2 linked regions of the Caenorhabditis elegans genome follow. The protein of the gene in region 1 purifies or fractionates together with the protein of each later gene. This does not show direct contact. Each region holds a gene or a part of one and is shown on either strand. Other genes may lie near its edges. The genes, in order: lec-5 and far-6.

Region 1 (17,121 bases):
CGAATAGTTTAAATGAATAAATATTTGATTTCAGAACTGAGATTGCTGCTTACATTCAAGCGGCAAATCGTGTTAGTGAATACTCACCTGTTGGAGCTCCAATGTCATGTCTATTGAAATTGAGTTCAAATGCAATAGTTAAGTATGAATTGGATGTACCAACTACATTAGAAGGTGTAAGTATCAAAAAATCACATTTTTTCAAAAATCAAGAACTTCAATCCAGCTGAAACCACGGGTACACAGTCCAATACACAGAGTTATTAAAAGATCAGAAATCTAGGTGTTGAGCACCATTCTTCTAGCCTAAAAAACTTAATAACGTTTTATTCATTATTAATGTTTAGAGAACAGTTGGAGTATTAATTGGTGTGAACCATGATCGACAACATATTTTTGTGGGTTTCCGATCTACAAACGATCCGTTCCAATTTGTTGCTCAATTCTACGTGTTCACAATGGGATGGATGAAAGATTTTCCACTGGGTGGGAGAATGGTTGCAATTTACGTTGAAATGTATAAAGATATTCTGGAATTTGGATTTGATGCTTCATTAGAGAAAGTAGTACAAGAGTATCCATCGTATTCAATGTTAATCACTGGGCATTCTCTTGGTGGAGCTATGGCTACTATATTCTCACTTCATGTTGCTCTCAAATATCCACAGAAGAAGACTAGTTTATATTCAATGTCTGCACCACGAAGCGGAGATGAAACATTTGTGAAACTTCTGAGAGAACATGTAAGCGATTTCAAAAAGTTTTTAAAGGGGAGTGAAAGTGTTTTGTTCTAGACGTCGGAACATTTTAAAAATAATTTTCTTTTTTGCCTGAATTCGGAAAAGGCATTCTGTACAGTTGTCTAGTACGGCCGCCTCCTCAAATCACCAAAAAGTACCTTTAATCGTTCCAAAAATTTGAAAATTCCAGGTTTTCGAGGAGTTTCGCGTTGTTCGAGACGGCGATTTTGTGCCCGACGCGCCGTTCCGTGTGTCACAAACAATCGAGACAGCTCATCATAATAGTTTTGAAATATTTTATGGAAGTCACATGGCTGTGGATAACTATAAAATATGTAATCAGCCTGAAACAGAATATTGTTTGAAAGGATCTTGGTGGAAGAAACCGGTGGCACACATGTATTTGTTTGATCAAACTTTTTATAATTATCATTTGGGTTATTGTGAATAAATATTTCCGTTTTCTAATTTTTGCCGATCTAAAATTGTTCAAGTTGCATTCATAATGATTTTTATAAATTTTCATTTTTTAAACCCGTAGAAAGCCCTTTTAAATCGTAACAAAAAATTAACTATCCATAAATCGGCCTAACACTATCATAATGGATATTCCCGTTCCGCCCATCTCGTATAACTCGGTTTACATTCCAATTTGTAATTTGGTTCCAGGTGATTCTTGTGGTAAAGAACCTAGAAATTGGTATATTTTTTAAGTTATAAATTCATTCAACTTACATTGACCATTTGTGCATAGTAATTTTCTTCCAGCGGATGATCTACTTGTCCAAGAAATGTTCGATTGTACAGTAGCTCGGCCGTGCATTCCACAATTGAGTAATCAAATGCTGGGATCATCTATATTGAAATTTAGGCACTTTGTATTTGGTAGATGGCTTACTTTGTTGAACATCAAATTGGGATATGCGGCAACTGTTCTCAAGTCCTCAATTCCCAGTAAGCAAATTGCATGTCGAACTGTTTTTGATCCACATTTGTGGGCACTTCCGTACATCCATTGTGACATTCTGCAATCCAATAACGTTAATATTTTCCAAAAAAAAAAAACCAATTTTACCTTGATACAAAATCAGTATTTCTTTTCTGTTTCAAACATTCATCCGTGAAATGTCCAGGCATTCCTAGATCAGCACTCACTTGAAAACTTTGAATAAACTGCTCATCTACGCCAGATGACTGAAAATTTAAAAATAAAAAGAAAGAGATTTGAAAAAATGTGTCTCACTCCTTCATTCCATTGGTTAATATAGGTTGAAAGATCAACTGTTCGAACCATCCAATCAACTGCCCCCCTTGACAATGAGCCTTGTACAGCTCCTTTTGCGAACTTCATGCTGGTGGTTAAAACATTTTTGTCGATTCCAGTTTCTTGAAATTTTTATTTTAACTCAATACAATCAATTTAGAACTCACCATTTCGAAACATTTTTAGAGAAACTGGGTCCCATTTGAACTTTTTATTATCTACACGTCCTGCTTCAGGTGTAATCTCGATGTCGTTTGCTCCACCAAGCCAATCATAAATCTGCTCTATTTCATATACGGATTTAACAATGACATCATGATTTTGAAGTAAAATGGCATAGTTCCAACCAGGTTTGTTAATTAGAACACGGAGGCAATTGTAATGTGCAAGATTGATGTTATGACCAGCTGAGTCCACTGATTCTTCATCTGAAATTTTATTTTTTAGATCTACGAGTGGGTTCTTCTAGATTAAGATAAGTATACGAACACCATATGAATTTACGTTTCATTTGTCATTTTTAGGCATTGTAGGTTTTTTTTAATTGAGTTCAAAAAAACAATTAAACATCAACGCAAAATTCCGTCTCCGCATTATAAAATTGTCAAACTTGATCCAAATATCTGAAGTCAAACAACTACATATTAAGAAACTTTGGAGGTTTTAAATCAACATTTTGATTGAAAAATGACATGTTTAAATTTTTTAAGCCATCGGCAATAATGTACCTGGAAGAAGCAAAACATTTGGAAGACACGCAGCCATTGCTCTGAGCCTTTCATGAAACTGTGACGGAGCTTTTTTGTCAATCGCGAAACAAAATGAATTTTGTGGATGATATGACATTTGAACTTGTTTCTCAATCATTTCATAATCTGTATAAACAATTCTCGCAAATGCAACACCATTTTTCAAAGGTTTCAAATCATTTCCCGATGGTAGAATTCGATTCATAATTGCCGAACATGACATATTGAGATTCTTATTTTCCACAATTTTTACTCGATCTTTTCCAGACACTGTTTGTAGGTAGACCTGTATGAATAAAAATTAGGTTTTAAAATTTTGAAATTTAAACAAAATATACCTTATCGTCAGCTAAGATTCGTCCACAATCGATATGATCCGTTTCTGGTCGTCGTGGATAAATTGCCTTCTGGAAATTCAATTAAAACTTATATCTGTCATTATATTTTTACATAAAAAATTTAAATAATATTCATACGCAGTTACGTAGCAACAAAAATGCATGCCTGTCTGATTTAAAATAAGATCTCTGCCTGACTTGTATATGTGGGCATATCTCGTTTTGTTAAATTTTTCTTGAATTTTGGAATTTTGGAATTTCGCAGAAAAACTTGATTGTATAATTGTTATTTCTTTTTTGATTTTTTTGTTTTACAACTAAATATTTGAACTTAAAATACAGTTATAGATAGAATTAAAACATTTTTCATGTTAAAAAAAACTCACGAATTCGGTTTTCAACTCCATTTTAACAAAATCTTTCTGCAGCTCGCTAATTATGGCATTTCTTTGATCAATCTCATTTCTCAAATCGTTTACCACTTGTTCATAAGTCATCGGATTTTGTTTATCAGTCGTCAAGGGATCTGGAAATGAAAAAAAATTTAAACTGTATAAAGTTTTTGATAATTTACCGTAAATTCCTTTTTTCGGATTGAAAATCCATAGATAATACGCAACGAAGCATACAGCAAGAAACAGTAAAATCCATATAAATTTAAATGTTTTTGGTGCTGCTGAAGGATCCAATAACTGGTAACGAATCTTGCTTCGCATCTGAAATTTTTTATAAAAAAGAGAAACATAGAAAACTGTTTAAATTTTGAAACCTTTATATTTTCTTGGAAGAAAAAACCTATACACAACGAGAAACGAGGAAAAGTTGCGGAGGAACAATTCAATCTTTTATTGTTGTTCTCTACCTCTCTGATATTGAAAACTGTCAATATAAACGGAGAAAAACCATGATATTTAGGCTTTTTCTCGAACAAAAATACAAATTTCAAAGTTTAGACTCGTTTTTCTCCGTTTTTATGCATTCCGAAAAATTCAGGGTCCATAAAGTTCTATGGAAACAAAACGAGGCATCCGTTTTTGGAAAGAAAATCGGGGAAAAACGTTTTTTCACAATTTTATGCAGATGGAAAATGAATTCATATAAAAGAAAATGAGTTGTCATGGAAACGGGACAACGGATTAGATTAGCACTATTATTATCAAAACGAGAGAATGGAGCAAGCAGGTGGAGATGGACAACAAAAGAGTTAAGTTTTCTCGCAATTGTGCCAGTTGGCAAGTTTTTTAAAGAGGAGTAGCTTATTTGTTTCCTTACTTTTTTGGATTAAAAAAAAAATTATTTCACACTTAATTCGCAATGTGCGAAAACTATTATTCGCATGCGCACATTACGATCAATTTTGTTTGCGTAAACTCTGCCAATCTTGTGAGGTACCTGTACACATCGTAAATTGACTGTGTTATTGGAAATTTTTCGAAAATGTTCTACAGGGGTTCTAAACTTCAAAGAAGTGGGGACAAATAAATGAACTAAAAACTGAAATTTGTGCAGCTTGTTTTTTCATATAGTATAGTACTTTTTCAGTCAATAAGTGCACAAATTTTTATATATTAACAGTTCATTTTCAGCCTCTGTGACACAGACAAATTTCAAACATCTGACTTGAGTTTCTAGCTGAATTTGGCCCATTCCGACAGCTGTCATGAACAATGTTTTGAGAAATTTTCGAGATGTATCTTTTTGACATTTGGACTTTTGGGACTATTGAGTCTATGATAGTAATAAAAAATAGTTACCTTTTTGCTCTCGTGGAAGGTAAAAGACTACAAATCCGTATAATACTTGGAAGCAAAAGTCCAAAAGGTTCAAATCTGAAAATCCAACAAATGGGGGCATTGACATTTCCAACTCTAACTGTTCTTGATAAAGAATATACAGGGGAAAAAGCTGGGAACAATGAACAACTTTTAGTATAAAACATAAAATACACTTTTTTGTTAAGAAAAGTAACGCCCTAAAAAGGAGTAAGCACTCAAACACATATATGGCAGGGAGTTGGCAAATATAACTTAGATATATCATGCTTTGTATCTGCGTCTCTACTATTTACAAACTATTTTTCACTCATTACTGATAACATTTTAAAAGAGAACAGTGGTGTGCAGACGTAGCTGCAAACTATTTAATAATGGAGGTGTTTTAGTTATAAATATTCATGTGTATTTTGTTGAAAAAGAAATATATTCCAAAAGTGATAAAATGTTATTTACATTTCTATGAGTAGTTCAAAGATATCTATAGTGTTTCTATTTTCTCTCAATTGCTAAAAAATTCTTCTTAAAACAAATTGGACCATTTCTCTGAGCTGCAGGGACTTTAAAAATTTAAGATAATTCTAAACGATCAGAATTTTTTGCCAACTTTGACCGAACATAAAACATTGTTGGATATTTTTAAATTAACATAGGTACCGTTTCTATTAGAATGTTTTAATATAGCGGGGCACTGTCGTCTTACTCTACTAAATGGTTAGATTACTGTAGAGAGATTAAAAATATTTCAAAGCCTTTTGAAACAAAAAAGTTGGATAATTTAGCTATTCAATGCAAAAATATAGTATACCTTCATTCTTCCGATTAACTTGACTTTTGCTCGATGTAGGCTGTGATAATATTTTTATACGATTCAGAAACTGTGCTCCTTTGTTCGCAGCTATACTTTTTGCAAGTAAATTTGAAAGAAACAGAACGTCTTTCTCTCCATTAAAACAACATAGCCTGTCGTTTTGTTTTCAAATCGTTATGTTCTGTGATATGTGTGATTTTCCTTTAAAAAAACATCAGATTTTATTCACAATTAAACTCAGTTTTCGAATCCAACAAATCATGGCCATATGCAACGAGATTCCCGCTTGCTTCAAAAAATCTGAAAAAAAAAGTAGTATTTACTATAACGCAGCGGAATGGGGTTCGGAGACATCCAGACCCAGCCGGGCACGTATTCAATGCACCATATGACGACAAGCACACGTATCACATCAAGGTTCCTAAAAAACAAGACCACCAACATGAAGAGACTTGGAGTTGATCCACCATGTGGAGTGCCCGAACCCAAGGAAGATGTACTGTTGGCAGTTTCATGTGATGCCTTCGCATTCGGACAAGACGACACCAACAACGACCGTATCACCGTCGAATGGACCAACACCCCGGATGGAGCTGCCAAGCAGTTCCGCCGTGAATGGTTTTAAGGAGACGGTATGGCTCGTCGCAAGAACCTCTCTATTGAGTACAACCCAAAGAACATAAATCTAACTTTCCCAACACTTCAATAACACTTTCAATAAAGTTTCATTGATAGATCGTTCTTTTTTTTTTGGATTGACCATATGTTCAGAAGTTGTGTTATCCAATCGAGAAAGAAAATCGAAACTCCTTCACTTTCATCTTTTGAAGTTTGAAAAAAAATATATTGAATCATCTTTTTTGATTCATCATAATCTTTAAAGTTCTTTAAAGATAAATTCATGTTTGCTTCGCCGGATAACCCCAGCGAAGCTTTTCCAAAAATTAAAGTTGTTTGACACTCTCTTTCGAAAGGTCAGAACTCCAGCGTACCTTGAGTAACTGGGTTAAAACCGACTAACACTGCGAGACATCTCCTCTTATACAAATGTGTGTACAGACATCTTTCGAGGCAAGCGAATAACTGTAAGAGAGTGCCTCCGACAGAGACGCCGACGGCTCGAAACTGGCTGTGTGTGGCCGAGTGGGGCAGGAGGGAGTGCAAGGCGCAATACACCAAGGGTTCGACCCCAATTCAGTGTTAGAGGGAAATAATAAATTTCACCATTTGTAAATAAAATTTTTAAAAAAAACTATAACTAAATTAGCAGTTTTATGGATATTTATGCGATGAAGAGAGTATGTTAATAATAATTTCCAGCATTCTTCTTTCTAGTCATCGGCGATCCTGATCCATACAACTCACAATGTTTGGCTCTGTTCGTTATCATTTTATCAGTTGGTTTACACTTAAATGCATCGGAGAACTGTTTCATTTGAGACATCAAGGAATTGACTCTCTGGTAGTTGTTTGAATGTGCAAGGTTTTGAAATGGAACTCTGGACATTCCATCCTGAAATTTCAATTTTTCATAAAGTTCAGACAGTCACAAGGAATACCTGATTGCAAAAGAAAACTGCAGCTCCGTAGAAGAATAATTGCTTTTTATCAAGGGCCTCATAGTTCGGAACAACCGTTTTTCTGGCATAGGAGTTTTCGTAAATTCTCCACGCAATTCGATACGCAGCTAAATCAGCAGCATCTTCTTCGAATGTTACTGTAGTATTACACGCCTGAAATTGAGTTTATAAGTGAATTTCGGTCAATCGGTTAATGTAGATTACTTGAAAATCTCCGATTTCCTGATAGGCCACAAAAAACTGAGAAAATCTCGAATTATTAAAAAGACTGACTTACAATTAGAATCACGATTTTCCAACTCTAATTTTTCTGTTTGAATTCCTCGCAGTTTTTATTTTGGAGGAAATTGAAAAAGGAAATTATCACTTACTGGTTTCATGTTATGCATTTCAGTTACAGTCGGAAACGTTTCACATGTTTTGAGTGCTTGATCCTTTACACAATCTGCATTTTTTGTCCAAAGTTTTGAAAGTGGCTTGTCTAGATCGTTATCGTCAAATACCAATGTGTGCATGATTTCATGGATCATTGAAAACCCGATGCTCCCGTACTGAAATTGAGAATGATTTCTTGTTGAAATTATGTGGGAAATTACCAAATCAGAAAAGTAGTCCGTATTCAGAAGAAGCAGGAACTCATTTCCAATGTAAACGCTATTCTGAAATAGTTTTAAAAAATATGAATTTTTGAAAATTGTTTCGTACATCAAACGAATTAAACATTTGCCACACGTCTTTCAGTATTCCTGCTTGGTCCTGTGGGAAAATGTCTTCGATGGGTTCATCCAGAAGTTCCTCCGCTTTTCTTGTAGCAACACCTTTGCAAACTAATTCTGCAGTTGGTTGAGAGAATGCAACGTCTAATCTAAAATTTAGGAAATGGGTAGTTTATGGAACATTTTTCCTAACTATAGATGGAACTAATTTTCAGCCAATTTTTGACACTTTGACATACATAAACGACACTTAAGCTCTAACAAACAGTAAGGAACCAAAATTGATATACATTGGGAAAGTTTCAAACGGAAAACATTCTTCTGCAATTCGAAACTCACTTTTTTCTACAATCTTTCTCAGTGCTCTCATAAAGCTCCATGCTTTTTTTCACAGTGATCCGAACATCAGCAAAAGTTCGAAAAGTGATATTGCTGAGCGCTTCAACATATTGCTCAATTGCTTTATAATTCTTCGCCCATGGAGTTTTTATTATTTCCTTTGAAATCACGCTTTTGAACTTATTGAATAGCTTTCTAGCTTTTACATCCAATTTTTCAACCAATTTACTTGTAATGAATCCATTCACAGCACTGACCAAAACACTACGGGTAGTTGTCTGAACCTTAAAATGTATATTCCTGATTTAAAGAAAGATATACATAATCTTCGATTTCTCCAACTTCTTTTATAATTATTGCTGCTTTTTCTTCACATGGATAATTTTCAAAGCCAGGGAATAATACTTCATCTACATTTTCAATTGTTCTATTATCCTGAGCGCTGATGAAAAACGACGAAAGGCGAGGTTTGCTGGGTTTGCATCTGCAAATCGAATTAGCTAAATTTTAGGTGCATTTGAAAATTCACAATTTTCGTTTTTTTCACAACATGAAAATATTATTTTCTCTATGAAAGCTCACTCCGATTTAAGTTGCTCAATGTTAAGTTGCTTCAGAGCTTCTGCTATTGCGAAGGCATCTTCCCCTTTCTGATGAAAAAAAATTAGCTTGCCCATTCAAAACACTTTAAAACTTACAAACTTATCAAATTTTGGATGCTTTTTTCTATATTTTGCTACCATCCCAGCTTTCAGCTTGCTCAGATCTTCCATGAAATATCTTTCAACTTTCCATGGACACACATGGGCATAGAAATCAACACACGGATCCACAGAGAAGTCAGCATGTCTGAAATTTGTTTTTAACTCAATAAAACTTTTAGATGTAATTCTCTATTACTTTTTAATATGCTCTTGAATGATATTCTTCGGTAGAGAGGCTTTTGATGTGCAAAAAAGAATAAAAACAGAAAATATGAAAAAGGGAAGAAGGGCCTTCATTTTAGGTGTCGAAACAAAAAATATGTGATGCACGGATACTTTTATAGTCGAAAATTCCCGCCTACAATAGCACAGTGAGGTGGCCGATTTCCCATATTGTTTGGAAAATTTCGAATAATTTGCATAACGTTTGTTTTATTGTCACTGAACATTTAAGGAAGCGAAAGAAGCTGAAGACAAATTCCAAAAATGAAAAGCAATAGTTTATTCAAACAAAACAAATTAAGGAATCAGAAACTCTCGAAAGGAAGCAAACCTTGTGCAAATGACAATGAGGAATCCACTCCGAAATAATGATTTTCCCATGTTGTACCTCGGAAATTTCGTTTTCAAACCATAATAAATCTCCGATTTGCCATTCATAGTTTCCAATACTTAAAAGCCATTTAAAAGTTCGATTTCAGACTAGTTTAGAAGTGAACAAAGGTTGGGCAAACTCTGAAAATATTTGGAAAATATAAAGCCTTATTCTCCCATTTCTTTGGATTTTTTTTGAACAGCAGGAACAGAAGGACCACCTGGAACGCGAACAGAGTGAAAACACTTTTACTGTATAGATGTTTGGTATTTTTGGTGAGATCTTCATAATGCTTCAAATAATGAACACATCACATTAAGGTTCTTCGACATTAGTACAATGTTTCAACATCCTCCAAGCTGTCCATGCGAACATCGTAAATCCATCAAACACCCCATGTGATGCTGCTCCCTTGGATACCTCTACACAATAAATATATTTTTCATTTTGAACTTTGAAATTTGTTGAGACTCTCATCTGCTTACTCATCCAGGAGACCAAAGTGTTTTTCACTATTTTAGTGTCCGTTTTCTGATCAAAGCTCAAACCTTCGCCCCCTCTGATATCTTCTCCGCATGGCCTCTGGTCGGAGCCTGAACATTCCAATGGAAAACAAGGAAAATGTGTTGGTGTAATATAATGAATCAATTGAAGAAAGGGGTGGAGATTCCCGAATCATCAACACATTTATCTTGCCAATTGTCCATGGCTCAAGAGTTTGAAGCAGCTTCTTCGAAAGTTTGCCATTTAGCTTCTATAGTGTCACGTAACATTCTCGCATGATTTTGAAGATGTTCTCTTTTAAAATTGTATTAAAAATCTTTCAATTTTATACTTGCAGAATGATAACAAGAACGATTGTCTGCTTATCTTTGGCAGCCTTGGTTTCATGCCAAGGAGATGCTTCTGATCCAAAGGAGACAAACTATAAGAAGTTCATCGGAGAACAAGAATACGTTAGTTATCTAGACACTGGCTAGAATCTGAAAATTATTGTTTCAAATTTTTAGAAGCTCCCATTCAAGACCCGTGTCAGTGAGCCACTTGCAGTTGGACAAACTATTCACGCCGTTGGAACTCTTTCTGAGAAGCCAACTCGTGTGGATTTTAACTTCCACAAAGGATCAGCTAAAGATGCTGATCTTCCACTTCATTTCTCTATTCGTTTTAATGAGGGTAAGTGTTTTAATGAGTAATTTCAAGATCCGGTATAGTATCGCAAAAAATTTGTACGACAGTACCCAAACTTGCAAGATCATGAATAAAGATAATGATAACCAATACTTACGCTTAAAAAGTAGCAATTCAAAAACAATTTCTATCATTAAAGAAACTGATGTCATAGTTGAATGTTTTCGTTTCCAGAACAACCGATCCATAAATTAAATTTAAAAAAATACTATAATATTTGAATTTCAAACAATAAATTTCAGGACTTCTCGGCAGCGGAAAGTTGATCTACAACACATTCGAAAACGGAAACTGGTCTGAAGATGAGCAGAGAATTAGCAATCCATTCAAAGCCGGACAAGAATTTGATTTGCGTGTTCGTATTCTTGAAGGAAAGTTCCAGGTCTTTGCTAACCGTCTTGAGGTTGGAGTCTTCACTCAACGACTTCCACTTGATGGAGTAAGTTTGATTTTAAAATTGTTTATCAAACAACTTCGAATTTAAGATTGATCACGTCTCAATCCGTGGAGATCTATCAAAACTTCGTCTTTTCCACTATGGAGGAAGAATCTTCCCTAACCCATATATGGCAGTTGCTGGTCTTACCCCAGGAAAGAGACTGGATATTTCTGCTCTTCCAAAAGGTACAAAAAATAAAATGTCCGTTTATTCACATGGAAAACTTTCAGGAAAGCGTGTCAATGTCAACTTGTACCGTGAAAACAAAGAGTATGCACTTCAAGTTTCCATCAGATACAATGAGGGAGCTGTTGTCAGAAACGCAATGACTAGCAATGTTTGGGGAAAAGAAGAGAGAGAAGGAAAAATGCCACTTGATAAGAAGCAAGTGTTCGATATCACCATCATCAACGAAGAGTACTCTTTCCAGATCTTCCTTAACAATGAAAGGTTTCAAATTCCTTAATTTTACTGATTTTAATCAATATTTTTGCAGATTCACCACATTCTCCCACCGTGGATCGCCAAGCGATATCAAGACTCTTGAAATTGATGGAGACGTTGAAATCCAGACTGTCACCATTAATGATGCTCCAGGAGTTTAAATTTTTGTTTTCTGAATATATTTTAAGTTTTTATATACTGTCCAGATCTAAATAAACATTCTAAGTTTCCTTATCCGTAGCAATGTTTTGTTGGCAGACTACAATAGCTCGATTTTCATGGAAAATGTTGCAGACTCTGTTTAGAATTAAAATTTCCTATTCAGAATTCGATGTATTCAACTTCAAATTGTCCGAATATAAAGGAATACTGCAAAACTTTTAAATACCAAACATTTTTAATCCAACTTTGAGGTTTTCCAAAAACATGCACTTTTGCGTCATGGTGTTTGCGTACACTCGATTTACGAAATGCATTTTACTTGACGCGCAGCATTTTTGTTTGTTGTTTTTTGCAAATTCCTCTTGCAATTAATTTTCTCGTCATGGGAGTAGACGATTTGCTTATTAAAAATGCTCAAAAAACTATTGATCGATTGATCCGGCAGTTAGCAGAAATAGAACAAGAAGAGTGAGTGAATTTTTTGTTTGTTTTTTACTTTCAAATGTTTCTTTGTTCAGGAATAATCTCGAAGAAGACGAATACAGGGAATTGCGTGAAGACACTGTAAATCAACTTCAGGAATATGGAAAAATAGTCGAACGCCTGCAAGGCGGAGATGTTTCTTTAATTGATGATCTCACGGCGACTAAAATTGCGATTCGAACAGCAATAAGTAAAGCCTTCAAAACACCTGAAATTATGGCTTTATTTGCTGGAAAACATACTGGTCTTTTACGAGAAAAATTGATGATGGTAACTAATCTCAATGATATTATCGTTTAAAATTTAATTTTCAGACAGAAACCAACTACCGATCTCAAAAAATGCCGAAGCAAGGGTATCTGGAAAGGAAATTTGAAATTTTGATGGCACTGAGACGCCTTGAAGAAACATTAACAGAAGATGAAAGGAAGTTTCTCAGTGATCGATTAGAAACACCAGAATTCCAATTAATTGAGGCAAATGCGAATCGTCTTTTCAGTGGAAATGTGTAATTTTTATTAAATTATGAATTTTTACTTGTATATAAACTATAATTTTTTTTTAATGTTTTTAATCAAAAATCGCTTGTTTTATATCGGTTTTAACCATGCTGCTCAATTTATCTTTGTTTCCCACGAATGATTTTATTCCTAGGACCTCACCAGTTTTCAGAGTACAAATAATGGCTTCTCCAAAAAAACCAAAAAAAGTTAGGTTAGATGATAAAACGGAAAATGTATCACCTCCATGGAAAGCCTGGTGGCACACGGAAAAGAAACGGAAGTTTTATACGAATGATAAGACAAAAGAAAGTTTATGGGATCATCCAAACACCCGAAAAAATGAGGAAAAATCTCCGGTTAAAGCGAAAACGAGAAAACGGAAAGATGTAGAGGAAAATATCCATGGGACCATGGATGATGATAAAATGGTAACTATTAATTATCAATTAACAGATTAATTTATTCATTAAAATTTAGGAAGTCGATGTGGTACCCCCGCCAAAGCGGAAGTCTATGGAGAAGTTGGATGATGAAGAGTTTTCATGGAAGAGGCCAAGAAGATCGGACAGTTCGGAGAGAATAACGAAAAAAGAAGACATTCCCAGCTGCAGTGGCGTTAGTGTTGATATAATTATTAAGCTCTTTTAAAATAAAAATCAGTTGCAGGTAGAATCTCATTCCAATAAAATGCTACCACGTGTTCCATGGTCTTCTGAAGTTCGACCATTCAAAGATTTGCATTATCGTGCGTGTGCCATATTCGATACCTGTGCTCTTCTGGGAAATCCTGATGTTCTCAATGCTTCCATCGAAAGTAAAATATAGAGAATGATATTATTATTGAAATTTCTATTATTTTCAGAACAAATTCTCACAGTCATTCCATATTTTACATTATCTGAGCTAGATGGTCTTAAAAACGGATCAGGACACACTCGAATTGTAGCTAATTGTGCAAATAATAGTATAAAAGATCTTCTGGAAGAGAAGAATCAGTACTTGCATGTCGAGACGAGCACAGAGCAACAGATTCAGATAAACGGCTTCAGTGCAAACACAACTGTTGTAGATGATTTGATTCTAAGAACTGCATTGCGAATAAAAAGAGAAAGTAAGTTTTTTTCTTAAATTAAGATTCGAGAATATACCACAATTTTCAGTAATGTCAATTCCATCTACAATGAACCTCAATGATCGTGCTATTATACTCGTCACCGAGGATGTGAATCTTTCAAACAAAGCACTGACTCATGATCTGCACGTTGAGACAGTTAAATCATTCATGGACACCATTCATGGTCGGAAGAAACAACAAACGGATTCGGATCAACTAAATAGTTCAAGGAAGTCTTCGAATTCTGATAGAAGACAAACTACTAGGAAAGAACATCATGCTAATTCTCATTCTAACAAATACACTAGCAACGACATAAAATACAAAAGGAACGAAGCTGTTAAAAGTGTAAAGAAACATCGCGAATTGGAAAGTTGGATCAACGACTTAGCCAAAAAAGATGCTGGTCGCAATGCTGGTTTTGTTAAAGAAAACAAAGTAGAGGTAACAAAAAATTATTATTTTGTAAATTAAAATATGTTTTCAGGCTCCCAGAAAATCTCGACCATCGATCCCACTAGCAGACGAGATCACTCTTCAACCGTCTTCCTCAAACTCGGAATCATTTAAACCAAGAAAGACATATCCCTCATCAACATATCAATCATCTCAAAATGGAAACGTAGTCAAGACGACCAAGCCAAATAGTAATCGCCCAAAAATTCCGTTAAGCCTTTCGGATGACGAATGTACCTTCAACGACAATATGGATTGTTCCTGAATATTGTTTCCTATTTATAATTATGATTTTTCTGCATTCCTGCATCCGGTCTCATTGCATGTACGGTGTACTTTAGTGAATTATTTAGTGAATAAATGTTTTTTATGTTTTTTTTTACTTCAAACTTAATAGAATACCGCTAAATCAATAGAAATGTTTCGATTGTTTTTGCTTTCTAAATATATAAATCCAAAAAGCAATCAGAAGTTTAAGAAGAGACACTGCAGAATTTCAAGAACGGGGGCTTGCTGATTAAAAAATTTGCAGCAAGCATTATTCACAAATTTTCTACAAACTGCTTTCATAAAGTTTATTTATATCTTTTAATGTTTAAAACGGCAATTTAAAGCACAGTAACTTTTCTTAATCAAAAATAGTTCGATAGACAACTAATTTTTCTCACAAATCGTTGTCTCCCGATAATCGATTCTTTTGTGTACAGAGAGCGCGCTCCAGTGAACATTCTTTTTTTGCTCGCGACGGAGACAGAAATGGAAATTCTCTGATAATTCGAGTGTTCCTTTTCATTTTTTTTTATTATTCCAATGAATAATTTGATGTTTGTATAACCTTTTCGATATTTCAAATAAGATTTAATGTTTTCTAGACTTTTAAGCGATTTCGTAATCCTCGAATCGAATTTCCGGCTGATTTATGAGACTTTAAATATATTTAAGTTTTCAGGTAATGTCTGGCACAGCAAGCTTAGTTCATACTCTGCCGGCCAGTGGTGATTCTAATCATCGTGGACTTCACAGCTGTATGTTTATTCAACCTTTCAAAAAACAATGCAATAAACTTTTCAGTGAAAAATTCGCGTCGTGCTGCCGATAATGAACCACTTCTTCGATTTCGAGAAGCTAAAAAGGTTCTTGGGGATGTCTATGGAGAACTGAAAGACAATGTGGCTGAACTAGAAGGTGTTTACAAAGGTATTTTCTGTTTTTTACTTCGCCGCAAATATAAACCCACAAAAGTTCCAGATATTAAAGAGAACGACTTTGTTAGTTCTGAACAGCGGGAAGAAATCGAAGCAATTGGCGATTCAATCAAAACTATAATGGACACATTTCAAAGAGATAACATGAAGGTTGTATTTTTCGGAAGAACCAGCAACGGAAAGAGTACAACTATCAATGCGATGCTTCATGAGAAAGTGTTGCCCCAGGGAATGGGACATACAACATGTTGCTTTCTGCAGGTGAGAATCACTTTTTTTTCATATTTTATTGTAAATTTTTGAAATTTCCAGGTTGAAGGTTCAGAAGGCGAAGTTGGCCATCTACAATTAGATGATAATCCCCAAAAGATTGATATGAAAATGCTTGGAAAAATTGGACACGCACTGAGTGACGAAAATTCAGATCTTCCGGCAATGGGACAGGATTCTCTTTTGAAAGTGTTTCATCCAAAGAAATCGGAATCAGGGGAATGCCGACTTCTTCAAAACGACGTCGTCATACTTGATAGCCCTGGTGTCGATCTTTCTCCAGAATTCGATAGCTGGATTGACAAACATTGTTTAGATGCAGATGTATTTGTGCTTGTATCAAATGCGGAATCAACATTGACACAAGCCGAAAAGAACTTCTTCCTTCGAGTCGCGAAGAAGCTTAGCAAGCCCAACGTATTTATTCTCAATAATCGATGGGACGCCAGTGCAGCAGAAACAGAAAACATCGAAGATGTAAAAAAGCAGCATTTGACGAGATTCCGTCAGTTTTTGGTCGATGAGCTTGAAGTGTGCTCAGAAAGAGAAGTCAATGATCGAATCTTCTTTGTTTCATCGAGAGAAGTTTTGGAATCACGATTAAAAGCTAGGGGACTGGTACAAAAAGCCTATCAAGCAGAAGGTCATGGCACAAGAGCCTTGGAATTCCAAAATTTCGAACGACATTTTGAGCATTGTATCTCTCGATCGGCGATTCACACGAAATTCGAAGCTCATAACAGGAGAGCTCATGAAATGATCGGAAAAATGCGGCTCAATCTGAATAGCGTGCTAACCTCTGCAGCTGAGCAGAGAAGCAAGCTTCAGAATAATCTAAACGAATCCACCAGGACTTTCAATGAATGCCGTGTAAACTTCACTCAATTTGAAAAAGCTTACCGTGAGCAGACAGAGCAACTGCGAGCCGAAGTTCATCTGAAAGTTTCTGCTGATTTCTTTGAAGAAATAGCACGACTTGATGCAATAATTGATCGATTTGAACAACCTTTCGATGGAAGCTCTTCCGGAATGACAAAGTATAAAGAGGATTTGGCAATCTTTGTGGACAAATGTTTGAGCAGTGATTTGGAAGCTAGATGTACCGGTGGCCTAATGTCAAGAATTTGGAATTTGGAGAATGATATGTTCCGTAAGTGTTTATCTGGGAACTGATGTGTTATAAAAAATTTTTTTTCCAGAATATGTGACAAAAATCCTCGCCGAACCTTATCAGAATAAGCTTGAA
Region 2 (16,660 bases), on another chromosome or scaffold:
ATTAATTCTCACATATTTCAATGAAAATTTATGTGCTACTTTTGAAAATGGCATTCACATCAGGGGGTGGGCGGCAATCGATTTTTTCCGGCAAATCGGCAAATCGGCGAATTGCCGGAATGGAAAATTTCCGGCAAATCGACAAACCGGCAAATTTCTGATTTGCCGATTTGCCGAGTTTGCCGAAAGAAAGCAATTTGCCGAAAACTTTCGTCAAATTGTGGTTTCGCACTTTTTTTTTTGGAAATTTCAGAATTTCAATTTCAAATGGCAAAATTGCACGCATCCTATGAATGTTCCTACATCTATTTTGAAAAGTAAGCAAATTCTTTGAAAATATGTAGAAATACTGAAAAAATTCGTAAAGACACAGTTTTAAGTGTTTCCGTCTTATAAAAAATCCCTCTAAACATTTCCGGCAAATCTGATATCCGGCAAACGGCGAATCGGCAATTTACCGTAAATGAAAATTTCCGGCAAATTGGCAAACCGGGAAATTGCCAGAATTGAAAATTTCCGGCAAATCGGCAAACTGCAAATTTACCGATTTGCCGAATTTGCCGAACGGCAATTGCCGATCACCCCCTGATTTACACCAGGGCTGCCGGTTTGTCGGTTTTTCGAAACTATCGAAATATCGAAAATTTTCGTTTTTCGGTTCTCCAATTTTTCGACTTTTCGATTTTTCGGTTTTGCTAAAAAAAATGCATCTGAATTCACTCGAAATTGCAAAAAATGGTGGTAGGCACGCACGTATTCAAGATATTTTTTCCTGATTTTTTGACACTACAAATTCTTGCCCTTAGTTCAAAGTTTCACTTTATTGAACTGAAAGCAAAGTTCCAATAAACCGATTATCAGTCCTTCCACTTGACACGTAAAACATGCAATATTTGACACTGATAATGTCAAACGGAATTCCAAAAAAAATGATAGATAAAAAATTTGATTGATATGCATTAAAACAATGCCTAATAGTTAGAAAAAAGTCAGATAAAGAGTTGGTAGGGACGGGACGATTCAGAAATAAATCAATTTTGAATTGACGGAATTTCTTTAGCCAAGACTCGCCTAATCATATTTCCGAAACCGATCAAAATGTTTTGTTCCAGTATTCTGAAAATGACTGCGAACTCATTTTTTCAAGAAGTTCAAGAAAAAGAGGTTCTCTTTTGTTTTTTTTTGTTAATTTAGGTACATTTTAAGTCATTGGAGATATTTCACAGAGACTATATTTTCAGGTATTTGTACTAAATGAGAAACTGGATCAGCTTAAACCCGATGCACTGTTGTAAATGCAACTATTAAGGTCAGTCATGGTAATCTCCGTAATTCTGTTTTACAGGTCACAGCTCGGTTTCTGTGGGCTCATTGTAGGGATTCAAACATGCGCTATAGTTTTCTCAAAAAGTGGCAAAAACTTAGTAATTGCCACTTTTTGACTATCAATTAAAATTTTTTCCAACCAAATTTTAAAAAGCTTTACAATGATATTGTTGCATTTTGGCACCACACAGATTTAGGTTCAAAAAGAAAACCCTAAACTTCATTACACTAAAAGTAGTTTTCTTAATAATAGAAATCCAGGGAAAGTGAGTCATGTGTCTCGAAGGGAACGTGACATTTCATTGGAACTCTCGGTTCGGTACACTATTTCGTTAACGATGGGTCATCCAAGGTCGTATAAAAACATGGCCGGCGGAGCAGGAGCTGCACAGCAGAAGCGGCGCCGAGCTTTCTTTTCTTTAAGTTCTGCCGTTTTTTTCTCATTTTTCTCATCTATTTTTCTTTTAGAAATATAAATTATAAAACAACATACAGTAGACATGAAAAAAAACTTTTATGGGTCTTTTTTTGAACTGTTGACTTTGTGAAAAAAATGGCCTGAAAGCATTTTCACATCTACAGTGCCGGCCAATATTCTATTCGCTTTCCGTGATTTTATGATATCCAGACTATTTCAATTAAAAGTGGCAACCTATATAATTTAAAATGTTATAGCAATGATCCGCATCTTCCTTGTCATAGCACTTGCCTCCGTCGCTGTCTTTTCTGCTCCAATTTCACGCTTACCACAAAGCTTAGACGACATCCCAGCTGAGTTCAAGGAACTCATCCCAGCTAAAGTTACTGAATACCTTAAATCCATCACTACTGAGGAGAAAGCTGCTATTAAGGAATTTATCAAAAGTGTTATGGGAGGAAACAAATCTGTTGAAGAATTGAGTGCTGATATCAAGGAGCGGTCCCCATCCCTGTACGCTAAGGTTGAAAAACTCGACGTCCTACTCCGCACAAAACTCGCGAAACTCGACCCCGCCGCTCTGGCTTTATTCGGGAAAGTCATCGCTCAGGGACTTTCTTTCCGGCAACAGTTCCATGCCGGATACCAGCCAACTCCTGAGATGGTAAAGAAACTCTTCAAGGGATACATTGCTGAATATAAAACACTTTCTGAAAACGCCAAGGCCACCATCACCGATGAGTTCCCCATCGTCGTTGAATTCTTTCAACGTGAGTTTTTAAAATTTGAAATAAGATTAAACATTCGGTTATTTTCAGACGAGAAAATTCAAGCCATCATCCAACAGATCGTGAACTACTAAATTGTTTTTTTTTCAATTATTTTACCAAAATAAGCTTGTTGTCATTTAAAAATAAGTACCTTTGAAATTAGGTGTTTTCATGAAACAAGGTACACTAAGAAAATTATCTCCACAAAGTTTTTTACATTTTGCAATTTGCACTTCCTATAATTGCTTAAGTACTCCACTAAAAAACCAATAACAATTTAAATGTTTATTAAATGTATTTCGAAATTTGAGATTCATATGAAATACAAACAAATTGCAAAAAGTAGAAAACTGCGAAAATTATTTTCTTATTAAACTTTGTTTTATGAAAACACCAAGCGTTTAGATACTTGGAAATTCTAATAAAAAAACCGACCCGCCTGATGTCAGCTGCTGTAGCTTTTTTTCTGGAACAGAGTTGTATAATTTTGAAAAATCCAAAGTGTAGAAAAAGTTTTCGTCAATACTTTGTTAGTTGAAAACATTTTTCCAATAAGCAAAGTATTTGAGTTTAAAATATTTGAACAAACCATTAAAATCACTGCAAATCCGGGGTATCAGACAAAAACCAGAAAAGTATTGAAAATATATATTTATTGAAGTACCATCATAAGTTATATAATAGTTATCATTGGAGAGAAAACCCTAGACATTGGACAATTCGGAATACAAATAAGGATTGGGGATTTGGGGGAAGACGGGGGAAAAGTGAGGGCAAACTAGGCGGTACAATTATGGTTGTCTATGCGTATCCGTTTCATGATTGTTGTTTTCTTCACGGTATATACAAAAAGGCGAGAAGATTGTAGCAGTTTTTGGTTCGATGATGATGTGTGTGAGATGTTCGATCGATTAGAAACGACGGGCCTTCTTGCGGAAGTAGCAGCAAACCATGCACTGAAAGAGTGTTCGTTTGCTTATGATCTATTCGAGCCTCCCTCCCCATTCTTACACACCCCCGTCCCTATTGTAATCGTCTCAATTGCCACACACAAGAACGGAAACCGGTTGAATTGGTTGCCGATCTCTTGCTTCTAGACACTACTCTCTTACCTGTTGTCCGGCATTTTGTCCGACTTGGCAGACCGATTGTCCTGGGCACTGGTAGTTTTGGTTGCATGATCCGATTTGAACTCCTCCGGTGCATCCGCATTGAGCGTTCTGTGGAGCCTGGGTGGAGACGTATGGGGCTGGAGTTGGAAGAGTTCCTGGCTGGCTGTTGGTGTCCCAGACGCAGACTTGGGATTGGACGTCGAAGACGGTTCCTGGGGCACATGGCATACGTTGCCATCTTCCGCAGAACAAGTTGTTTGGAGCTGGCTGGCATTGAAGGTAGTGAGTGCGGGATTGTGGGTCAGTGGCAAGTGGGTCGATCATCCATGAGCAGATTCCTTGGTATTGAGCGTTTTGAACTCCGGATCCTTGGACTGAAATAGAAAGGTTTAGATTGTAGATTCTAGAACCATAAGATCTTACCGAGTGGGCATGGCTGTGGCTGGACAACTGGAGCAGATTGTTGTGGGCAGTATTGTTGCTGGGTGGTTGTGGTTTGGCAGTTCTGTTGAATTTGGGTTGGGGTGCACTGGCATGGTTGCATCTGAACTGGAGCCTGGGTGGTGGTCTCTTGTTGTTGGCAGCAGGAGATGGAGACAAGGATCTGCTCATTCTGCTGATTGTTGGTAGAGCATGTGCAGGCTGGTTGGTTCTGTGGGCATGGGCATGATGGGTATTGGGAGAATCTCAATGGCTGTTGCTGGGCAGATCTGCGGACCTTCTTGACAGCAGAGATTGGCTCGAGGATTTCCGGCGATGGGCAGACACAGTTTTGCTCTCCATTTGGACAGGCGCACTGTCTTGGAGCCTCACGGGTCTCCTCAACGAGGAATTGCATGGCCGAGGCAGTTGGGCAGAAGTTGTACTCGGTGGCATTGGCAGACTCGCAAAGTTCCTATAAACAAGAAGATAAACAAAAGGTTGAAGAGTGAAAGGTAAAGGATTACTTGTTGTTTGTTGACAGAACGGACAGTCTTACAACGGCGAGCGGAGGCAACAAACTCGTATCCTGGGAGGCATTCACGAAGAAGCCAGATTCCGAGATCTTTTCTGGAAATGTGAGAAGGCGGATGAAGGTAAAAAGGTATTCAGTATCAAAATGGCTTACCTATCGGCAGCAAATGAGGATTGACGAACACATTCAACATAACGGGTTGGATCACCAGTGGCTCTAGGGAACGATGGCAATTGGCAGATATCACCAAGAATGGCTCTCCAGTATTGTGGAGTTTCCTCACCACTCTTGGATTCGCAAGATGCGAGAGCTATAAGAAAATGGAAAAGGTTATCAAGGAAGAATGAAACAAAATGTTAAAATTGTTAAAAAATCAGAAAAAAGTGATAAACCTGCGAGAGTAGCGCATCCGATAATGAGGAGGAAGCGCGCCATGTGTGTATGAGTGAGAAGAAGCTAGTGTGATGCTCAATCGGCAAACTCGTCGCGCTTTTATACGATTTGGCTCTGGAGCACACCTGGGGAGGGCTCCCGCGCCCTCTCCGAAGTAGGCGGTTCTCTCAGCCCGCCCTAATCCGGAACTCATCAGTGGAATGGCATGCGGAGAGAGGAGCGCACGCGCACCCGTCGACCCACTTCTCACCGCGAATACTTGTAAATAGATTAACAAGATTACAATAGGAATTGATACCCCCTCTCTTCTCTCTTGCTTTCTATGTTCATATTTTTTGAAAATCAAAAACTGTGTTTGTCAGAGTAAACAAACAAAACCCGTGTGTCCGTGCAAATTGGCAACTTACTACAGACAGTAGTGTACTCGAGCATGCTTTCGCAGAAACCGTTTAAGTAGTTGGTTCTCTTACACTACTACAAGTCTCTTTTTTGGCTTTGCGGCGTCAAGCAAGGCCGAAGGTTATGGGAAAAGAAGCTTCTAGACGCTAGATATTTCATCTTTTGGTTCTTGTTGACTCAAGTTTATTTGTGTCGTTCTACTTGAGCTTTTCTCTCTGATTTGCATCATTTTTGATAGCTGGAAACAAAAGGTTACGGTACAAAATCACTTCACAATTCATAAAAATTATTTGGGAATTTAAATGAAATATTGCAAAAATTTTTGAATCGTCTAAAATTGCCAATTTTCGCTCGTAAAAATGGATAATTGTTGTTTCTGATGATTATAAAAGCGATTTTAAAATGTTTAAAAAATCTACAGTACGCTTAATTTTTACAGGATCTACTCTCAAAGCGAACTTAATATTTTCAAATTGAGGTCGCGCAAAAAGTATCTGCGCCGTTAAGAAGTACAGAAGTACAGTAAGAAGTACTGCCCATTTTTTCTTCAAAATATTATTCTGTAGAAAAACGTTTTTGAAAAATCCCCCAAAAAAAAGAGCGGGTTACTGTAGCGCACGCTCATATAGAAAAAAATTTTGTTCGTCTCGGAAACCCATGGAGACGTAACGCTATTCTTTCAGATTTTTTTTGATTTTTTTCAGGAAAAAAATCTTGAAATATTTTTTGCAAAACTGAAATTTTCCGGCAATTGAAAAAAATGCGTAAAAACTCGATTTTTCGATGTTCAGACCTAGTCAGTGCACATTGAGAACTTTTCGGATGTTCGTTTACATTGTGCTCAAATTAGGCGAACTTTGTGAAAATCTGGCACACGTTTCAATAGCGAACCTGGATTGATGTCCGCTGCTTATTTAACTTGTATATCAATTGTATTCAAAACTTCAAACATGTTCGCTGTATGACATGCATGTGCTCTACAATTAGAGCCTGTTCTCTCAAGTTTCTTTCGTGCCCCCAAAGTTCCAGACACGGATCGGTTTCCCGTAATCTCTGGTCTCCGAAGAACACCCCCCCCCCCCCGTCGCCTAGTTCTCAGTGTGTATCCGATGTACGTATAATATGCACTTCATATATCCACCCCTCCTGTCTAACAATTAGTGAAGAATTGAAAAAAAGGTTGGTGAGGGGAGGAAGGAGGGAGGGCGCGAGCTCGTTGACGCCGCGTCTCGTCCGCATGTGCTTCTCCTGCGCATCATCTTATTCCAGTTTGCCCTTCCAATCGTCCGTTGGGAGCAATAAGAAGCATCAGTTGAGCAAGTGAGGAGGGGGGAGGCGAACAATGTGTGTTGAGTGACTCTATTCGTTGGTTTTTCAACAGTCTAACGGGTCCGTTTGTGTATGGGGGTATGTATGTTGCTTGTTGCTCCTGTTGGATTGTGAGAAGAGAACAACGAAAATGATATCTTGGAGAGAGAGATCCGCGCGCCCGCGCGGCACAACTCGGTCATCCATGTGCTCGCGGCGGCGGCTCCGTCAAGTGCCATCTCTTTTTCTTTATCTCTCGATGCACCATGCATTGGCACTCATTTATCTGTGAACAAGATTATCTGACACAGGTAGTATCCTCTCTGTGTTCAGATCATTGTCTTTAGACTCACGTTGAGCAATCTTTGAGCTGAATTAAATTAGTTTGGCGCCGGCTTCTTGACCAAATTTTTCCAGCTTGGTCAAGATTAATTTTAAAATGTGGCCGTGTTGGGTAAGTTTCTCTTAAATTGGCTCATGGAAACTGTAACCCAAAATGAAATTTCAGATCACTAAAACTCGGCCACCAATTTTTTTGTTGAAAATTGCCATGACGGTCAGAAACTCCGTTAAAACTTTTGCGAAATTTTTTTTTTTAACTGAAATTTTTTAGATTAACCGATTAATCATTTTGAATAGAAAGTGTGAAAATTTATTTTGGAAATAATTTAAATTTTCGAGAAAAAAATCGGTGGCCGAGGTTTTATTTGTTAGCGGTCATGGAGTAGAAGCCGGCCTGTTCCCTCAGTTTCCACCAGGATTGCGCGGCGATTGCCGACCGGCAATTCTACAAAATGAGACGGTTGGGCATGTTCCCCTGTTATGTTTCATTAAAGTTTAATGATACATATAGAAAAATATTTGCTTTGTTTGAAAATAATTTTCATTTGACTTGGAACAACCGAGAAAGTGTTCAAAAATAGTCCGAATGTTGAAAATTGGCGGTGAAAATTGCCGAAAAATTGACGGCAATTTTCAACATTCGGACAATTTTTGATAACTTTCTCGGTTTTTGCAAGTCAAATAAAACTTATTTTCAAATAAAACATATAGTTTTATATAAATAATGTATCAAAAAATTTAAATGAAAAATATCGGGGGAAAATAAGCACCCCAGATTTCCAATACGTGGCCTAGAAAATTGAAACACCGGCCACCAATTTATTTTTGACTTTTTACGGCTGAAACCACGACCAAAGTGTATACAAAAATGCCTAGGCGAACATAAACCACATGGTCATTTCCATCGGCCAAATGTTCAATGAAAAAGTGGTGTTCTATTGTCTCATGCTTCACACTTTCCCACGCCACTACTCAACCAGAATGAAAAATCAATTCAATAGTTCTATTTTTGACACCCTCTCCGAACTCTCTCGTTCTAGTACCCCCTCTAGAGAACTGTAATCAGTTTGAGTGCACACATGTCAGCTGCTTGTAGAGTTGTCTTATTGTTCGTCGGCACAAAATGCCCAAATATAGGAGTGAGAGAATGGGAGCAAAAGGTACAGAGAGAGAGAGAGAGAGAGAGACACCAAACACATGGGGTCTCAAACACAAGACGATCGGCGTCACCCGTGTTTGAAAGCGAGCAAGAAAAAAGTGCAGCTTGAAACACAATAGCATCCGTGAAGAAACCGTTGTGCCAGTGTGTTTCTCACACTCTCTTTCCGGGATATCCAAGTTAAAATCAAAATCAAAGGAGAAGGGTGCGATGTCCTTCGCATTTTGTTAAAGGGGTCGCACCGAAAAAATTTGGTGGCGGAGTTTTTCGTTTCGCTGCCACATCAGAAAAAATCGAAATTCTTTACTGTTAATTGATTATTTACAATTTAAAAATTAAAATTAAAATCAGCAGCCAGCGATAGCGGTCATTGGCTTTTAAAAATTGATAATTGGAAATCGATAAACAGCGATCGGAAACCGAATATTAAAAAACAGTCAATTTAAACCTAGCGACGGCGATAATCGACTTTTTCAACCCAGGTTGCAACTCCCTTAAGATCAGCAATCGGCAACCAGACATATTGGCGTGCAATGGCTTCTTCTGGAATATCTGACAACTTTCAGTTTTACAAAAATGACGTCACTTCTGAATGATGCAGGCATCACACTAAAATGGAAGAGGTTTTTCAAATGTCTAACAATTGTCACTTTTCTGATCATTGACCCTAAGCCCAAGCCTGAGCCTAAACCTATCCCTAAGCCTTAGCCTAAGCCTAAGCCTGAACCTAAGCCTAACACTAAGCCTAACCCTAAGCCTACGCTTAAGCATAAGTCCAAGCTTAAGCCCAAGCCAAAACCTAAGATTAAGCTTAAACCTAAGCCTAAACATAAGCCTAAGACTAAACCTGACCCAAATCGTAAACCTAAGTGAAACCTTTTAGTCTCTATTTTTCGAAGGAAAAAGTGCATCTTGAAACACAATAGGCCTTCCGCAAAGCAAAGGGTTTCCGGAGATGTTCTATTGAATTCAGGAGCACAAAAAACCCAAAACACATAGAGTCAAGACGTGTGGCCCAAAAACAATAACTGCGTTCGGAAACCTCCCCGCCCGGGGGTGCTCTTTCTCTTGTCAGCTGTGTTTTTGTTTGCTAAATGTGTGTTTTCTCGCACTTCCTTTCATTTGCCTTGCCCCATGTACAATAGATCGGAAGAGCAAAAAGTGGATGGAGTGAGAAGCCATAAAGTATTTCGAGGTAAAGCATTGGATGGGGTAAGAGTTGTCCCCACTTCCCTCAACACCACACGGCTCAAGAAATCTCATCCGGGGAGGGCAAAAAGAGACGGTACTTGAGAAACAATACGCATTGTTCATGCCTCCTCTTGCTCTCTTTTCGTGTGCTTCATCCGAGAAATTGAGCAAAACGAACGCGGAAAAGTAAGATGGGGGATATTCAATGAAAAAAGAAATTGATATGCTCTGATTTGTATTGTTCTTTTTTGCTGTTGCCACTGTTCCATAGAAACAAAAAACCAGCTTGAAATATGATGAGTCACCTCGGTGGTCTGTCGATGATTTCACTGGTGTTTACTCTCTGACCTGAAACTCTGGGAATTAGTGTAGCAATCTGAGGAATTTGGGATTCGAAAAAAGCTCTGAAAAAAAAACCGAAAATTGATGTTATGCCAAGACACATAAAGTTTTAAAGATGGAGTAGCATCTGGGGTTGTTTTTTGCCTTAAATGACAGAATACATTCCAAATATACCGAATATAACTGTTAAAAAATTTATAAAATTTTTCTAAATTTTTTATGATTTTTTTTAATTTTGCAAAAATTGAATTTGAATTCCCACACAAATGAGTGTCGTCATTTTCGACATTTTTGCGTTTTACGATGATTAGTCGCGTTTTTTAATATATATATTTTTATTTCTTTGCTTTGTAATTTGAAACATAATTTGCTAATTTTTTAAAAACATTTTTCTGTGAAGAAAACTTGCGAAGAAACTTCCCGAAACTCTAAAATTGGCCTAAAAATCGTTATTTCATAATTAACCATAATTTTCGTGTCTAAAAAATTGACTGTATCTATAAAACAAAGAAAAATAAAGAAAAACCAATTTGTTTGGCCGTAAAAGACAAAAATGTCAAAACTGACATCAATCAGTTGCACGTGAATTCAAAAATATTTGGCCCTTTTTATTTTTGAAAAAATCATAAAAAATTTAGAAAATTTTTTTAAAGTTCTCAACAGTTATATTCAGTATATTGGGACTCTATTCTGTCATTTAGGGCAAAAACCCACAGACGCTACTCCACCTTTAAACATAAAAGATAGATTCGAAAGTAGCTCTACTCGGTGATATTTGGGAGAATATAGTGGAAAATTATAATACGATAAAACATTTTAGAATTTAATTGGAAACCCACAAGAAAAACGGAGTTGAGAAACCTGAACAAAAAATACTTGTTAAACAAAATACAAAAATTCTTCAAAATGGCCCCGCACAAATCTTGGCTGTTTTATCAGAATTTCTTCGTCCTCCTTGTTTTAGGTGCAAAAATAACTGAAAGTTTCTGAAGAAAATTGAGAAACTACAGAAAATCTTTGTAGATTTCAAATTTAGCTCATCATAGTTCATGCTCTCCGTGTATTGTGCATTGATAAATATTGATAAACACTGTGCCAAAAAATCCAGTTTTTTTCTTCACACGAGACTCCACTTTTCTGATCGCTTTTCGCAAAACATTGGTTGACCTTTTTGCACTTCCTGTATATATAAAATTTCAGGTTAATAATTGTTGCAATTGCACACAATTCAATCTGTGATCTGCTCGTAAAGTTTACTCAACCTCCCCGTGCGGGTGTGTTGCCAATAAATTCCGACAATTTGTTTGATGGTTTGGGGGGGGGGGGGGGCTGTTCTTTATTGGATCGCCATTTTTGGAATATTTCTGAACCAGTTTTCTTGGAAGGTTTTCAGGTGCAAGGTAATATGTTTGTCTAGAAGTTCAGGGAAGATCTGTGGGAAAAAATCGGAGTTTTTCCAATTCAGAACATTTTAATACTTGTCCAAAACTTTATATAGTTCAGAAGAAATTATCAGTATTAAATTTTTGAGAATGGCCGAGTTTTTTATCTAGGCCACTGCTACATGGCCGGGAGAAGAAGAAAACTCGGCCACCGATTTTTTGGCGGCTAAGTGAGTGAGATTTAAGTACTTTATTTTTTTTCTGGGTTTGAGTAAACATTTCACTTCACAACTACAGTAACCCAACTTCTGAAGGACACTATTTCTACAAAAGTAGAGACAGGGCCAACGCCACGTGGCCGCGAAAAAAAACTCGGCTACCAGATGGGCAGTGCACATTGTGCACTTTCTCGAAAATTGTCTCCAAAAAGTTGTGAAGGATCATTTTCATACCATTTGGGGTATTTGGGGTGTGGTAAAATACTGAAAAAAAATTTTAGGCCATTTACTTATGTATCTAGTTCTCAGTGGAAGTTGAAGTCGGTAAAACTCAAAGCTTATGGGCTGAAATTAATATTAAACAAAGAAGATGATCTCTGACTTCAAATAATTTTTTTTTCTGGATTTCTAGACCACGAGTGACGTCACTGTTCTCACCTAAAGCTGAAAAACTATGAAGCTCTAGTGACTAGAATTCATATGGAAAACTATAAAATTTGCGTTACCAAAATAATTATAGGTACCGTTGTACTCCAACATACACTGATCGTTTTGTTCTTTGTATTTTTAAATCAGAAAACAGGTCTTGTCACATGTTTACATGGCAACATGTAATCCTTCTCCCCCCAATTTGCCACCGGACGTTTCACGGCTCGCTCGTTTTTTTGCCCCGCGCATCTTCCTGTCGCTAGCATCTTTCCGAGACGCGACTAATCATCTTTCGAAATGATAAGCGGGTTATGATGTGCCAAATTGTGAATCTGCTTCGTTTTGCACTGTAACTAACGACTTGAATAGGATTTATGACACATTTTCTATATTTTGTGGGGAATTTCAAGCGTTGAATAGTTATTGTTGTGGAATTCTTTCAACGTGGTGGTAAAATCATGACTAGATAAATTCAAAATGGAATATATTTAAAGATAGATTAGCGTCTGTGGGTTTTTCATCCTAAATGGCAGAATACAGTTCCAATATACCGAATATAACTGTTAAAAAGTTTAAAAAATTTTCTAAATTTTTAATGAGTTTTCTAACTTTGAAAAAAAAATTTAAGCCAAGATCTTTACCAAAACTTTGACTGATTATTCATAAAAAAGCTGCGTTTCAAAAGGCTTGCAACCAGTAATCCACAAGTGTTCTTTTTTCTCATTTCTCAGACAACCAATGTACCAGTTACTCTTCCATTTTTGGCAGGTACTACTATCCAGTGCAAACAAATTTCGATATATGTATCACTTTTATTTGCTCAATTTTACCGGCGCAACCTGCTCCGATTGACTTGCGTGAAATTGATGAAGGGAATGGAGATTAGCTATAATATTTGTGGATTTCAAAAGTCAAAATCAACGTAACTAATCAGTTGAAAAAATGATGACTTTCTTGATTGCGGGCTGGTTTCATTTTTTGAAAAAAACGAAAAGAAAGATGCACTTATGAACTGTCCTCGGCATAAGGGTGTTCGCTTTTTTTGCAGCTGGAGGAGCACACACTTGGCTCTCCGAAACACGCATGCAATTGCTGGAATGTCGATGCTCCTGTTGTACTTGCTCTCCAAAGTGTACTCAGATTATCTGGTTTTGAACATCGAAGAACACATATCAACCACACCCAGACTATCATTAGTCACTAACCCATTAATTTTTTTGGGAAGAAGGAATGCGGAAACATAAAGTTCAATATTGAAGATCAGAACACGAAAGATACGGAATGAGAAATTTCTGTAGGTTTTTGGTAATTCGGATGAGAGAGATCAAGGGTGCAGGTGAGGTGAGGTGACTTTTTTGTGTTTTTTGGTATTTTGGCGAAAAATTGAGTTTTTGGATAAAAAAACCAATAATGTACTTTTTTATTTAAATAAAATAAATTACTAAATTCAATTTTTTCAATATTTAATTGCGTGACCGAGTCCTTTCTAAAAAAATATACATAAAAACAAAACAAAACAAAAACACTTGTTTTTCGACAGTCAGTGTGAAAAACATTCATTACTATCAATTTTCGTTTACAATCACAAATCGTGGCAATCAAGTTATTACATCGTAACAAATATGGCCAAACGAAATGATTCCACCAATCCGAGAATCTACGGATCAGCCTTAAGGAAGAAGGAGGTGAGTGTGAATGTTTAGAAATTGCTAAAAATTCGCTTTCTTCCGCCTGTTCTTGAGCTAGCTCAAGCTTGAGAAAAAACATCGGTGGCCGTTTTCTTTTCTCTCGGCCATGTAGAATGAAACCCGTTTTTGCTGCATTTTGGCCGAGTGGAAAATCGCTGGAAATTTAAGTTTATTCCACGTGTCTTCCAGAAAAATTCTCGTGGCAGAGTTTGTCGTATTTTGCGGCCATGAAAAAATCTCGCTACTTTCTTGCCACGTGGAAAAAATTCTGATTTTGGTAATCGTCGAATTGTGTAAAACGATGAAATTTCTAGGTTTTTTCCACGTTTACTTGAGAAAAAATTGGTTGGCCGAGTTTTCTATTTGTCTCTGGAATTTGTCAAAATTTTCGAATCTTCGAACTCGAATCTTGTAAATGAGCAAATTGTGATGTTGTTGCCACGTGGCCATAGAACGCTATAATTTTTAAGCCGTGGTAGCCACCGGAAAACAGTTTAGACGTAAAATTTGCGTGTGGCCGAGTTTTCTCTTGTCGCAGCCACGTGGCTCCTATAGAACACACGCTCCACCGCAAAATCAAAATGTTTGTGAGAAAATTTGAATTTCCCGCCAAACTTCATTCTGAGAGTATTTCAATTTTTTACTTTATATATAATTTTCAGTCGTCACAGGACCTACAATTTGGTGTAAATAGTAATGAACATCAAATGTCAAGTGATCAACTATCAGAAACTCTTAGTATTGGAGGAAGTCAAGTGGCTGGAAATAACGAAACGGTCCCTGGTACCATGGAATGATGTTCGGACAAACAGTTGAAAAACTTTTGAAGTGGGATCATGCTTATCTCGTTCGTCGTGCCATGCAACGCAACTCGAAAAAGGTTTTGTGTCTTTCTGTCAAGATTGATGGAAAGATCTGTCATTTAACTTTAAATTCGAATAAGGATGGATGGAGTTGTGCAAAGGTAAGTAGATCATAATGGGAAGGGTGATAGAAACTATAACTATTACTCATTAAAAAGACCAACTTCCAATCATTTCAGCTACTGGCAAAGTTTCCAAAAATCACTCCAAAGCGCTTCCAACACATTCATCATCTTCTCGATGCCTGGTCTCTTGTTGTCAACTCCATTGTTCCAGTTCCACGTCGACAATTAGTTCTTCAACACAATTGTATTCACCTCGAAAACATATTGGGTAATGGAGCATTCGGCGAGGTTCTGAAGGCGAGATATATTCCACGTGGTCACACAAATGGTGTTGAAGTAGCAGTGAAACGGGCACTTGGGACGGCTCAAAGAGATCAGATGCAAGAATTTTGTCACGAGGCTCAGATAATGGGAACTTTGAAGCATGACAATGTCGTGAAGCTCTATGGAATTGCATCGTTGGAGCAACCGATTATGCTGGTTATGGAGCTGATTACCGGAGGAGATTTGAAGGTTTGTTACTCTTACCAACTATACCTGTGCCTGCCTACTTACCTACATGCCTCATTTTTACCTTTATATTTCAGAAATATCTCCAGTCGACTCCTTCAATCCCAAATCGTCAGTTGATCGCCTTCGCCCTTGACATTGCCAACGGAATGCGCCACTTGGTTATCAAAAAAGTGATCCATAGAGACTTGGCGGCACGTAACTGCTTGATCAGCAGACCAACACTTCAAGTCAAAATTTCCGACTTTGGACTCGCTGTGCAAGCAACTGAAGTAATCGTAAAAAAATTGGGCAAGGCTCCAACTCGATGGCTTGCACCGGAAACGTTTCAAAAAGGAATTTTCAATGAGAAGACGGATGTGTGGTCGTTTGGAGTCGTCCTCACAGAGATTCTGACAAGATGTGCTGCCGATCCACTTGCTCCGAGAACTCTTGAAGAATGCAAGAAATACATCATAGAGTCTCCACATCCTCATCGAATTGAAAACAAAGAACCCAAGGAGCTTGCCGATTTGGTGGAGATGTGCTGTGATAAGAATACCATATGTCGTGCGAACTTTCAAAATGCCAAGCGTCGTCTCAAAATTGTGATTGACCAGTACGACCATCCAGACGGCCACAAATTGGAATTGGTGAGTATTAAAAGTTGATTTTTCTATTTTTTGAGTTTTCCTCTAAAATGAGAAGCGAGAGCACACAACTTCTTAATGACATCTATCTCATTTCAGAAAAAATCCGAGGAGCGGAAGACGCTGACCATTCGCAGATCCACCGCCACCGTGACCCGAAAAAAATCTCGAGATGGAGGACGTCAAGCATCTGTCGAACGGAAGGGGCACGGTACTCAACGGAAAGTGGTCTCAGTGCTTCGAAAAGATAGAGGGGCTCTGAAGCTTCCGTCTGGAATCGCCACCAACCTTGAGAAACCGTCACCGCCACCTCACACTGCAAAATCGTATACAATTAAATCGCCGACGACTCCACCCGTGTCCCAGCCTCCTGTGTCCCAGCCTCCTGTGTCCCAGCCTCCTGTGTCCCAGCCTCCTGTGCCTCAGCATCCAATGACTCCGCCACCAGCATCTTCTGCAAGGCCACATCCGAAGTGAACTGTGTTTACATGAATATGAAATAAATGCTTTGGATGCAAAATGAAATATTTTGTTATTTAATCAACAACTTTTTTGTGGTGCATTTCTCTTAACTAAGCCTTCCATGAGGGTGAGTTTTTACCCTCCCTAAAATACCCTGTTCGGGTAAAGGGTAAAAAAGGATATCAACGTGCCCTACTTTTTTTCTACCCTCACGGAAGGCTTACTCTTAACAATAGACTTGGGAAAATAAGAAGGTGTGATTGAATACAATGGCCTCGGTGGTTGAATGGTGCATTTAGAAATTGTTAATGCATTTACTATTTCTATTCTACCCGAAACTTTTTTTCATTTTCGTTTTTTTCAAAGTTAAATTTAAAAAAACCAGAATCCAAAAAAAGTATCCCCTTTCAATGTTAACCCAATTATCCATTTCAGCTTGTTCAAACAAAATAAAACGTTTCCTTTTTTCAAAAAGAATACAAAGCAAACAAAAAGTTTTAAATTCCAGATAATATGCACTTTTCATTCAATTGGATGAAATGTCTACTCGACGACAACTCCGTGTCGTTCTTGCTCGAAATCCGCCAGATGCTTTTGCAAATTGTCCATTATTCCCGACTCTTGATGTCATTTTACAATGTCCGTTTCCCGGATGGACCATGGAGGTAAGAAATTCCTACATGCCTACAGTAGAGGAAA

Evidence for each region.
Region 2: the proteins of lec-5 (region 1) and far-6 fractionate together in Caenorhabditis elegans (co-fractionation; one large-scale study listed by BioGRID). This does not show direct contact.

The regions. Positions count from the first base shown.
Region 1 is NC_003280.10:5,834,432-5,851,552, reverse strand, and holds lec-5 (Galectin), read left to right. Parts: upstream 1-10,449; 5' UTR 10,450-10,450; coding exon 10,451-10,564; intron 10,565-10,618; coding exon 10,619-10,784; intron 10,785-11,041; coding exon 11,042-11,238; intron 11,239-11,284; coding exon 11,285-11,423; intron 11,424-11,468; coding exon 11,469-11,688; intron 11,689-11,734; coding exon 11,735-11,843; 3' UTR 11,844-11,914; downstream 11,915-17,121. Other genes in the region: H41C03.2 (Fungal lipase-type domain-containing protein), read left to right, coding at 35-176, 348-743, 931-1,191; H41C03.3 (uncharacterized protein), read right to left, coding at 1,338-1,430, 1,476-1,595, 1,639-1,765, 1,816-1,934, 1,984-2,126, 2,172-2,432, 2,733-3,039, 3,092-3,160 and 2 more; ZK1248.17 (MSP domain-containing protein), read left to right, coding at 6,012-6,299; nep-25 (Peptidase M13 C-terminal domain-containing protein), read right to left, coding at 6,978-7,187, 7,234-7,407, 7,626-7,805, 7,851-7,913, 7,960-8,119, 8,310-8,587, 8,631-8,793, 8,892-8,959 and 2 more; ZK1248.19 (Beta-catenin-interacting ICAT domain-containing protein), read left to right, coding at 12,227-12,312, 12,363-12,597, 12,642-12,839; ZK1248.15 (WW domain-containing protein), read left to right, coding at 13,010-13,258, 13,308-13,445, 13,497-13,644, 13,693-13,941, 13,991-14,388, 14,432-14,665; Transmembrane GTPase fzo-1, read left to right, coding at 15,353-15,425, 15,472-15,597, 15,649-15,866, 15,918-17,025, 17,075-17,121.
Region 2 is NC_003282.8:13,326,358-13,343,017, forward strand, and holds far-6 (Fatty-acid and retinol-binding protein 1), read left to right. Parts: upstream 1-2,001; 5' UTR 2,002-2,003; coding exon 2,004-2,514; intron 2,515-2,562; coding exon 2,563-2,606; 3' UTR 2,607-2,957; downstream 2,958-16,660. Other genes in the region: pqn-74 (Chitin-binding type-2 domain-containing protein), read right to left, coding at 3,426-3,470, 3,627-4,000, 4,050-4,521, 4,574-4,676, 4,735-4,891, 4,974-5,016; glr-9 (Solute-binding protein family 3/N-terminal domain-containing protein), read left to right, coding at 16,501-16,626.